Coturnix japonica: one gene and its partners. The protein of the gene in region 2 interacts with the protein of the main gene of each other region in a biochemical or structural test. Links are inferred from orthologs where the notes say so. Each region holds a gene or a part of one and is shown on either strand. Other genes may lie near its edges. The genes, in order: RPTOR, MAPK1 and GAB2.

Region 1 (3,648 bases), on a different chromosome or scaffold from region 2:
TAAGCAGTGCAACTCTGCATGTGGCAGGGCAAGGACCTGGGGAGCCTTCTCAGGATTCAGGTCTATGGGGGCTGTGCTGTACCCCTCACTCTCCCTGCTCTGTATTTGGCCCAGCCTGGCCCTTCCCCTCACCCTTGTGGTCTCTGTTGAAACTCTTCCAGGATGGAAGTTGAAAATTGCTTCTGGCAACATTGAAATATCTGAACAGCTTATGTAAGTGCTGCAGTGTTCTCAAATAGCAAACAAATCAAACACTTGCTGAAACTGTTTCCAGGCACAGCTTTGTTTGTTACGGCGTTTGGAGGTAGAACCTGGCATGGCAAGTTCACAGCAACCTCCTGTGCCATTCCTTGGACATTGTGATCCTTAGATGGTCAAAAGCTGCTTTCAGAGCTGAAGGGAAAATCGTGCTGCAGCCAAAGTATGAGGAATCAGGTTTGGTTGCTGGTTAAAGCCCAGAGCAGACAGGGATTGTTTTAGGCACTGAACTTCTCCAATAGTTCTGAGTTTATTGTGAGTCTCTCTAGTCCCTGTGTCTCAGCCAGGGAAGCAGTTCTCCAGAATGCCCTGTTGCATCACATAAGGAAGGATGAAGAGCTTTTTCTCATTCATTGGTCTGTAAAGCTGCGAGTAAGAAATGCTTCGCTCCCAAGGAGCCATTCTAAACCTGTCAGTCTAAGTGTTTTCAATAGCTTTTCAAACTTCATGCTGAAACGTACAGGTTGGGTATAATTAAGAGAGGTGGAAGAGGATTTGAGAGGGCCTTTAGGACATTTTTCTTTCAATTTATTGATTCTTAGCACAGGAGTTTCACAGATGGGGAACAAATTGAAAGAAATACATGATGTACTTGAAAGATCTGCTGCTGATGGGCTGGGCTTCGATTCAGCTTCTTTGTGGGGCTGTATTTTGTATTTAGGAGGGTATTTTTGTGGTTCTCAGTGCAGGAGTAAGGAGGACAGAGACAGTTCCTAGAGAAAATCGGTCAAAGAGATGAACGACATCTGATGTCAGGTGTTATTTGTAGGAAGGAGAAAAGTTCCTCTAGAGCAGTTCCCAGTGGAACAATATATTAGATTTTATGGAATAAGATTAAAGGAAAAAACAACTCTAATAGAAAGTATGATGTTCCAGCAAGGCTCTCAGTTCTGGAGTTTGTTATGAGCACAGCGTTGCTGTTCCTCTTTTTATCATGCATAACTATGAGTGTTGCATTGGCAATGACATGGCATCGTGTTCTGTTTTGTGCTTCCCAAGATGATGGTGCCATCAGAGTATGGAAGAACTTTGCAGACCTGGAGAAGAACCCGGAGATGGTAACGGCGTGGCAGGGGCTGTCAGACATGCTGCCAACTACACGAGGTAGGTCCCCTACCTGGAGATTGGGAGGTCAAAGGTGTGTTGATATGGTTTTTTTCTCAAGATGAATACAGCAAAATGGGTTTCTCAACATCAGCCACCAGTAACATCCTTGTTTAACAGTCTCTACCTTTCTGGAATGGTCTTTGGCCAAGTTTTGTGTTTGTTTCTTGTTAAACAAACCAACAAGACTAAAAGCCCAACACAACAAGCTCCCCCAATGCTGAAGAACACCTAAAGGAGCCTCTTGGTGGGGTGCAGAAGGGCACAAAGTTTCTGTCCTTTGCAAACCTCAGAGCAGCTGTCTTGGCCAGGTGTTCCTCTGGCCTGTTCCTAAGGAGAGATCTGTAGAACAACGATGGAACTGCCCTGCTCCTTGTGGCAGGAGTTTGTTCTTCCCTTCTGCGTGGGATAGTGGCTCACATGCTGCCTCTTTTCCTTCTGATGGGCTGCTCAGCCTTCGCACAGCTTTGCATGTTGCACCTCTGACTTCATTTAGCTCAATTCCAGCACTTACTGTCCACTGCTCATTGTGTGTCAGGAGGTGATGAGAATATGCAGTCCGGATCTGGCACATTGCAGGGCAGCACAGTTAAACACTGAACAGATTTGGATGCTAGAAAACTTAGAAAAAGATGTACAAAGGAGCACTGACATCCTGCTGTGCACAGGATGAAACCAGAAGGCCAGTTTTAAGTAATCCTGAAGTCTGTTTGAAGATATTAAAGGAGATGGACATTTTGTCCTTCTGAGACCTGATAATGTACTAATGCTCTCATGGGGTTTCTCTGTCACTTGAATAGTTCTAACCGAGGCTACAGGTGTTTCTAGATGCACTGTGGTTCAATCAGTGCTTGTGGGATTAATGCAGGAATTGCTGGGTGAGATTCTCTGGTTTGTGCTGTGTGGGGAGGTCAGATGAGATGACCACCATCACTCATTCTGACCTTAAAATCTGACAGTTCTCATTTCGGAGCTTGTGGCTCATCACGGGAGTCTGACACAGCTCTTTTAGCTATTCATTGGATTTTACCAGTGCTGCCTTGTTGAGCTCATATCTGCTGTTTTCCTTAATACCTCCTGTTTCGTCTCTGGTGCTTTAGGAATGAGGAACTGCATTTGAGGTAACGTTAGGCTCCGTGCCTCACTGCAGTATGTGTGCAAAGCTGATGAGAAGCTGCTGGATGTCTGCAGCATACTGAGAAAATTGCCATGGTCCAAACTTGCTCTTTGCAGAGACGTCAATAAAAGCAGGATGAAAACAGTGGTAATGCAGGGCACGTGTTTGTCTGTAGGCAGAGAGGAAAGTATCCAGCAGTCATCTCAAGTTGCCCTTTGTAGCGTCATTCAGTTGGTCCACGTGCCTTCCTTGCCAACGCCAGTTTTTGTGAAGGATGTTGATTAACATTTACCATCTCTGGGCTCTGAATTTTGCTTCCTTGGTGATGGACTCAGCTGAACAGCTGATGTCTGGGATTTCCCCTGCACTGCTCTTACATCGTCTTCTTGCTGCATCATCAGTCGTGTTCAGGGAAGATGCTGACAGCTGTAGACTGAACTCCTTCAGGCTAACTCCATTTTCCTACCTTGCTTTCTACGTGTACCTTATATAAGGGCATAGCATTTGCTGACTTTACCTTCTTCTCTACAAGGCTTTAATGTAGAAGAAAGGGTTGTTAGCATCGATGTTTGACATTGCAGAATAGGTTAAGAGCTGAGCTAGAGCTGATTTAGCTCTAAGAGTTGAGGGTTTACATTTGCCAAAACAAGTGTGCCCAAACTTGAATCTGTTCTTTTGAGATGGTGTTACCTTTTTCTTTCCAGTAAGGCCTTAGGAAGTCTGGGCCCTGTTTCCCTTGTCTTTCACCTTTGGAGCAGTAGAACTAGGTTCAGAAGAAGAAAAGGGGAGATATTTGTGCAGAGAGGAATAACTGTACTCAGTTCAAAAGAGCTATGTGGATCAAGTCCCCTTGGAAATGAGACGCTCTATTGAGCAGTTATCTTTTGCTGCCAAGACTCGAGTTGTGGTCCAGCGCTGGCTCATAAAACTGAAGATGCATCTTTGAAGCTGCAGAGCTCAGGAGTTTTGCTGGGGTTTGTGTGCTCCCACTATTGATTTCCTTCTTTCCACTCCCATCCTTTTCCCCAATGTCAGACTCCTCTCTGAATTTAACAGTCTTCTTGCAAGCAGAATACTGACTTTTGTAGGCAGCTTTCCCTCTTATAAAAGGAAGGAGGAATACACGGTACCTAAATACATCCTTTGCAAGCTTGAAGGCATCACTGGCT
Region 2 (3,748 bases):
CCTAATTCAGCGATGTGGAAACATAACACTTGTGAAAAATAAGCGAGTGAGGGATTCCACTAAGAGTTAAGCCACCCATTTTGCATATAGCAAGCCTTACAGCACAATGCATTTAGAAATAACCAGCACCTTCTGTCTCATACACATCAGCTGACTGCCTAAAACAAAGCCATTAACGCTTGCCTTGCTGTCCTTTCTTAAGAGTACAAACCTAAATGGCTTTTCAATAGCAGGAGCTGTCTCCACCTGCACCCTGTGGCTTTGCCCTCTGCCACCCCAGCCCGGAAGGGAGATGCTCTGCAGATCTGCACTGCGTTACAGTCAAAGCAAGACCCGGGACACGCAGTACGAATCTGCATAAGCTCTACCTGCACTGCTCAGTAAGCACTGTTACTTAACCATAGTAGTCGGTGTGCTGCGCTGCAAGGCATGACAGTTGCTATGGCATTCAGCTGGAACATGTGCATCCAGCACCTCCTTTGTCAAACACGCATAAACTGAGACTTTGTTCCCTGGCATTTCACACCCAAGGCAGAAGATCAATAATTACAGTGCAATGTATCACGTTCAGGATTTCACACCAACAGCTTTAGAGAAGAAAACAAAGGAGCCAAATGAATATCTCAACTAAACTGGAGATTCAGAATTTTTTGTTAAGAAATACAGATAGCATTTGAAGCAGAATATCATTTAATATGGCAAGTTTCCAAACAGACGATAATATTCCACAGTTTCAGAGAGGAAACCCTTCCATAACAGAATGGAGTGACACACCGTGTGCAGGGGAAGAGAAGGACCCCGTTTCCCTGTCTGCTCCCAATCACGGTGACGCCAAAAAAGGGCATCAGCTGCCACCGCACTGCGCCGTGCACAAACATCTCAGCGTGAGCAGCCGGCTGCGGCACCACCTCGGTACCGCACGGCACGGCGCTGCTCACAGCTCCTGCCTGGATCGCTCTGCGGGCACCAAGCTCTGCTGGGGCTGCGAGCTGCCACCCGGCTCCGCTGATAAAGGCACACAATAACAACACCTGGAACACGAGCTCTGGACGGGCCGTTGTTGTGACTTCCAGCACTAAACCAATAACAAGGTTATTTTTACACCATCAACGGGAGCTTTTGTTTTTTTTGGTTTATGTGCTGGAGCTTCTTCCCACAACACAAAAGCAAAGGCCGCAGCTTTAAAGTTCCTGGCAGATGTTTGTCTGCCTCCCCAGCAGCTCAGGAGCGGCTCCAGCTCCCACCAACACAGCTCGGCCTCACCGTGACGGAGCAGCACATCCCCACAGCTGCGAGAGGAAACCTGCAGATCCACAGCGTGCAGCTGAAGGCAGCAAGGCAGCTCTGCTGAGCGATACACTGCGGTTTACAAAGCACGAACCGACAGAGAGAGAAAGCAAAGCTGCTACACAACCATAGCTGCGAGTGTCACACAGCACCTCCGGTCACACAACACACCGGGAAGCGCCGCGATGGGCCCGTCAACGAGGAGCTGCGTTTCCCATCCACAGCCGCCCATGCAGAGCAGGTGCCCCGAGCCGAGCACGGCCGGCCCAGCCCGGAGCTCAGCGGCAGCACCGCGGCTCGGCCCGGCACGTCGGGGCCGCTGCTACAACGCCAAAATCTCGCGATCGTTGTCCCGCATTTCGCGGTTGGCGCTCGGAGCTCGGACCGGTCGGCGCAGAACGCGCACACACGGCCCGGCCGCCGCCTGCCAGCCGGGCAGGGCCGAGCGGAGCCACCCGGCCGCAGCCGCAGCGGGAGGCCCGGGCAGCAGCAGCAGCAGCAGCAGCAGCAGCCAGGTGAGCGCCGCACAAAGGGACAGCGGGGCCCAGGGCACAGCGGGGCAGGGCAGGGCCCAGGGCAGGGCAAGCGGCGGCCGCCCGGCCTTCACCTTCACCTGCCCCGCCCCGAGGCCGCGCGGGCCGCTCCCGGCCGCACTCACACAGCGCCCCGAGCCGTACTCACCACCCCATGCCGTACTCAGCACACTGTGCCGTACTCACCACCCCGTGCCGTACTCAGCACCCCATGCCGTACTCACCACCCCATGCCGTACTCACCACACCATGCCGTACTCACCACCCCATGCCGTACTCACCACCCCGTGCCGTACTCACCACACCATGCCGTACTCACCACACCATGCCGTACTCACCACACCATGCCGTACGCCCCCTCTCCGATGTACGAGAGGTTGGTGTATCGCGGCCCCACGTCGAACACTTGGCCCCGCACCATCTCCGGGCCCCCGGTGCCGGTAGAGCCGCCCGCGGCCGCGGCCCCCGCCACCGCCGCCATGTTGTCCGTGCCGGGAACCGCGGCGACTGCGTGCGGGGAGGGGAGGGAGGAGAAAGGAGGGGACGGGAAGGAGGGAGCGAGGAGGAAGGAGGCGGCTCCGCCACACCGCGCTGAGAAGCACCGGCCGGAGAACGGGCCGCGGAGAACGGAACGAACCGACCCGCCGAGCAACCACCGCCACCAGAGCGGGGACGGGACGGGACGGGAGGGGGCGGGGGGCGGGGCGAGACCGGGGGGGCCTCGGACTGCGGTAACCGCAACCGACGGGGAGGGGGCGCGGCGCGCGGGTCACGTGGGCGGCGGGTCACGTGGTGGGCGCGGCCGCTCCGAGCGCCGCCATTAGAGGAGTCAGGTGATGGCGGGAGGAAATGGAGACCGGGATGGGGGGGAACGGGACGGGACGGGACGGGACGAGCACGGCGGGTACGAGCACCGTGCGGGGACGAGCTCCGTGCGCGTCGCTCTGGGCCGGACACGCAGCCGTTCCCGCGGCTCCGTGTCCGGCGCTACGTGCGCGTTCCCGCGCCCACACGGTGCTGTCACACACGGTGCTGTCACACACGGTGCTGTCACACGCAGCCGGGCCGGGCCGTCTGTCTGAGCTGACATTAAAGCATCAGTGACAGAAGGAATGGGAAGGTGTCTCAAGCAGGTCATTGGTTTGATGGCTGAAACACGGCGTTATGTTGAGGGGATGCTGATACCACGAAATGACGGCGGGTAATGACGAGTGGAGAGAAGAAAATGAACAGCATCATTGGGCTTAGAAAAAGCACAAACAGCTGCCCCACAGTGCTGCTCTTGGGGATTTCGTTTTCTCTGCTAAAACTCAAACTGAACAGTGATGCAGGAAACTTAAAGGTAGTTTATAGAAACAAGTAAAGGAAACTTAAAGGTAACAAGTAAAAGAAACAAGGGGCCTGGGAGAAGCAGGGAGAGTGCTGTGCTCTCAGTGCTGTGCTCAGTGCTGTGCTCTCAGTGCTGTGCTCAGTGCTGTGCTCTCAGTGCTGTGCTCTCAGTGCTGTGCTCAGTGCTGTGCTCTCAGTGCTGTGCTCTGTGCTGTGTTCTCTGTGCTGTGCTCTCAGTGCTGTGCTCAGTGCTGTGCTCTCAGTGCTGTGCTCAGTGCTGTGCTCTCAGTGCTGTGCTCAGTGCTGTGCTCCCAGTGCCCCGTCGTCCAAACCAAATGCAGACATCCAGTACAGAAAGCAATTTTCCAAGTGTTATTTAAGGAGACTTCAAGCCTCTGCCTGGAGGAGAAGAAAGAGAAGTAAGACATGTAAGGCATTCTATAAAGATGTATTTTAACTTCTAAGGCAGTCAGCAACCATGGTGATGAATGTGACACAAACTGAAATTGCTCGGATATGAGCTCTGATCCACTGGGAGCCATCCTAAGAGAGTCATAAAGAGCATCAGATGCTAATGACTTCTAATCAGAACCTACCTG
Region 3 (3,648 bases), on a different chromosome or scaffold from region 2:
TTCACCCGATACCGTTCAGGAGGTCAGAGGGAGGGTGATGAACTGTAAGGGAGGATGGGAGTCGATGGCTGCTGATGGATAACCAGCTGGTGGCTGTCTTTCTCCTCCCCACAGCCCTCCACCTCATCAGCTGCCTCAGATGAGAAGGTTGACTATGTGCAAGTGGACAAGGAGAAGACACAGGCGCTGCAGAGCACCATGCAGGAGTGGACTGATGTGCGGCAGTCCTCAGAAGCCACCAAGAGCACCAAGCAATAGCGGCAGGGCAGACACCTAACAGGCAAATGTCCCAGGGGTTCTCCCAGCTTGGGGCCCTACCAGACTTCCAGCTCCATTTGGACTGGATTTCTCTAAAACTGCTGTCTGTGTGGAGGGGAAGGGTTCTTTATTATCATTTTCTTTTAAGACAAAAGGAACTTAATTGCAGAGGAAGACTTGGCAGATACTGTTTGCCAGTGATAAAGGTCAACTGTATTTGTTGGCTGGGTTTGTGCTTTAGCTGCTGAATGCACCATCCAGGAACTTTGATGTAGCAATACCAGGTTCCACCTTACACATTTGTTGCTTACAGTTATTAAAGCCACCTTGTATATGCTAATACCATCCTTCCCTGCCTTCTTCCATACCATGCCCATAAACTGTGCCACTTAGGTTTGGCAGCATCTCTTCTAGGACATCATTTCCCACCACCAATTCTCTTCTCCTTATGGTTGCCTTCTTCTCAGCATCCACTCAATCCCAAACCTGAGCAAAGACCATTCCTCTTTGACTTTATTTTCATCATCCCATCTATTGTAAATAGTGATGTGTTCAAAACTTCTGATAGTTTTTCTCACTGTGGGACAGCCTCTGTGTTTCTGGTAGTGATTTGTAACCATGATGAGCTCGAAGAGCTTCCAGACTGCCTTGTTGAGCTGGCTTTGCAGTCCAGGACTTACCCCACCGTACATACATACACCAGCACGTACTCAGACACTTGCATGCATGCAGGAACACCCAGGTGTGATGGAGTGTCTTTTATGGTTGACTCTCAGAGTCATTGGGTTGGAGATGCTGGCTTTGGATGGCAGAATTTCAGCCTCTCTGAAGCCAATTGCCTGTGAATCTGGCCCTAGGAACCAAAACCTACCTTTTGTGGCACAAAAATAAGCCCAGAGAGGATGAGTCCTACCCTTGGCTATCTGTATGAGGCATTCAGAAGGGCTGTGGGGCGCCTGTGTACCTGGGTTGATGTGAGGTTGAGTGATAAGTGGGAGGCAAGAGGAGATGTAGGGACCAGGAGAAGGCAGATGTTGTACCTCAGAAGTTGGACTTGGGTGAGGGGCTTCTGTGGGCTTTATCTGGGGTGAAAGGAGTGGAATAACTGAAATGTTTGTCAGTGGTGAAGCCCTAGGCTTGGAAAGGAGCTGGCCAGAAGAAGCAGGACAGGGTATTTCAGTGTTAAATGTATTGTAGCATAGAGCTGGTTCATGCTGGAAGCAAAGGATTGGTCTAAATATTGTTCCTCATCTTTGGTGATACCTCTTTGATACAGATGGGACTTTGTGATGGTCACGACCCCAGGTTCTGATAATGGATGGGAAGCTGCTGTTCCACTGCCTGCATCTTTGACACATGGAGGCTTTGGGATTGTTCCCCAAGCAGCTGCCGCACATGGAGAGTAGAGAAGGAAGAGGCAGCTTATTGCAAAGATAATTACTCATGATCTCATGAAAACAGGAAGAACTAATGATTGCCATGGAGCTGCCTGATTGCCAGACAGCAAGCGCTGACACAGATAAACAGACTGACTGCATATCGAGAGCTAAACAAAAGGCACGTTAGAAGGATTAGGTAATAACATTTGCTAAACAGCTTGAGTTATTCTTTCTTCAAGATGGACCCCTCCCAGCACCAGGAGCTCTACTTCCCACAACCACCACCAAGAAAAGCAATCGTTTGTATTAAGTATTGATGCTTAAGTGTTAACACAGTTGTTTAATCTTGGCCTGAGTTTGGAAAGGGTCAGATGCATCTCACATGGGTACAGGATGCCAGACCCTTAGAGGCTAGGATCTGCCTCATAAAATAAGTCCTCAGTTTCCAACACACGTTTGTGTTTTCCTCTGCCCTGCCATGAAATGGGACGATCTTAAGGGAAAAGCTCTGATGACCCTTTTAAGACATTGCAGTGTTGGGCTTTTACAAGAATAATGGAGCAAATATCCTCATGCTTATGGTAAAAATAATAATCATCATCTAGGAGAGAGATGAGAGAAGTCCCAAAGGGGAAGATTTAGCACAGCCAGATGCTTTGTGAAGACCAGGGCCTGTGCTTCTCATTGTGGACTTGAACGCTTGCATGGTGAGATAATGAAATGAAGAGCAGAGTGCAGTGCTTCATCTTTCTATAGCCCCTTTCATCACCACTTCTCAGGGGAGACAAAACATTGGGTCTGGTCCAGAGCCCACTGAAGTCACTGTAAAGGCTCCCATGAAGCTCAGTGAGCTCATTAAGAGGATGTGGAGAGATCTTCTGGCCTTGGCATCCCATGGGTGCCTGAAACACGAAGGAAAAGCCAGTCCCATGGATCTGGTGTGCATTGACCTGGCTGGAAGTGAGCTCTGCACAGTCCCTGTGGAAAGGCAAAGAACTTGGCTTTCCTATTTTGTCCCCCAACCTGCTCTATACAAAGGAAAATCAGGTTGGGGAGGAGGGATTATGATGTACACTGAACGCATTTCCCTGCCAAAATCATGCTGTTTGCCTCCTAAAATGCAGCCTTCTCTGGGTGGATGGCAGCAGAAACTTCAGAAATAGCCCTTCATGTTGCTTGGGGTCTCTCGCAGTGCAATTATGCTTGAGGTGAAACTGAGCCAGCTTCAGGCCAAAGAAAGCTTGAGCCACACCAAAAGCATGAAAAAATCAAGTTGTAATTGTAATTTTCTTCACTTTTCTGGCCAAGTGCATTAGATATATATCCAGTTGTTTGGAGCACGGTCAGAAATGTGTCTTCTACCTCATGTGAGGCTGGGAGATGGGGAGTGCAGCGTTTGAGGCACAGACTCAGATGTGAATGATCCAAATCGTTTATTACAAGTTCTCACATCCCTTATATACCTTTACAAGTTGTTATTTTCTAACTTTCCCGTCCGCCCTTACAACTTTCCCAACCACCTTTACATGTCAACAAAGCATTCTTCAAAACACTTTTCAACTGTCCATGCAGGCACGTATCCAATCAGAGCTGTGAGACTCTTCTTCTCCTTGCAGAGGTGTCCTTGGTTCTCATGCTGTTTATCTTGCTCCACAGCTGCTGCTCTGAACAGCTTTTCTTGTATTCCCACAGGGGAGCTCAGCCATGGTGCCATTGTTTGAGAACCAAACCAGGGTTGGATACAGTTGGTGCATCTAGTGCCCACTTCCATGTTTAATCCAAGGTGTTAAGATTAGGAAAGCATAATCAGTACTAAACACTACTGGAGAAAACAGTCCTTTTTCTCCACATCCCACAGTGATGATATTTGTTCACAGGTAGACTCCATCCATATAGACGTGGCTGTACCAGCCCCTCTGTAATCAATTGCTGCAGTGGAAATCGCCATTCCCGCCTGTTGTTGAGCTGATTACAGCAGTCCCTGATGATTAATGTTTGTGTAGTATTTAGT

What was found.
Region 1: of the proteins of MAPK1 (region 2) and RPTOR, one has a biochemical effect on the other in vitro, tested with the Homo sapiens proteins (2 studies listed by BioGRID, with this or other methods). The link is inferred for Coturnix japonica from reciprocal best matches to the Homo sapiens genes MAPK1 and RPTOR.
Region 3: of the proteins of MAPK1 (region 2) and GAB2, one has a biochemical effect on the other in vitro, tested with the Homo sapiens proteins (2 studies listed by BioGRID). The link is inferred for Coturnix japonica from reciprocal best matches to the Homo sapiens genes MAPK1 and GAB2.

Annotation. Positions count from the first base shown.
Region 1 is NC_029533.1:5,000,600-5,004,247, forward strand, and holds part of RPTOR (regulatory-associated protein of mTOR), read left to right. Parts: intron 1-1,257; coding exon 1,258-1,362; intron 1,363-3,648. UniProt on the Homo sapiens protein: Component of the mechanistic target of rapamycin complex 1 (mTORC1), an evolutionarily conserved central nutrient sensor that stimulates anabolic reactions and macromolecule biosynthesis to promote cellular biomass generation and growth.
Region 2 is NC_029530.1:386,070-389,817, reverse strand, and holds the start of MAPK1 (mitogen-activated protein kinase 1), read right to left. Parts: upstream 2,526-3,748; 5' UTR 2,302-2,525; coding exon 2,159-2,301; intron 1-2,158. UniProt on the Homo sapiens protein: Serine/threonine kinase which acts as an essential component of the MAP kinase signal transduction pathway. MAPK1/ERK2 and MAPK3/ERK1 are the 2 MAPKs which play an important role in the MAPK/ERK cascade.
Region 3 is NC_029516.1:172,541,734-172,545,381, forward strand, and holds the end of GAB2 (GRB2-associated-binding protein 2), read left to right. Parts: intron 1-114; coding exon 115-258; 3' UTR 259-3,144; downstream 3,145-3,648. UniProt on the Homo sapiens protein: Adapter protein which acts downstream of several membrane receptors including cytokine, antigen, hormone, cell matrix and growth factor receptors to regulate multiple signaling pathways.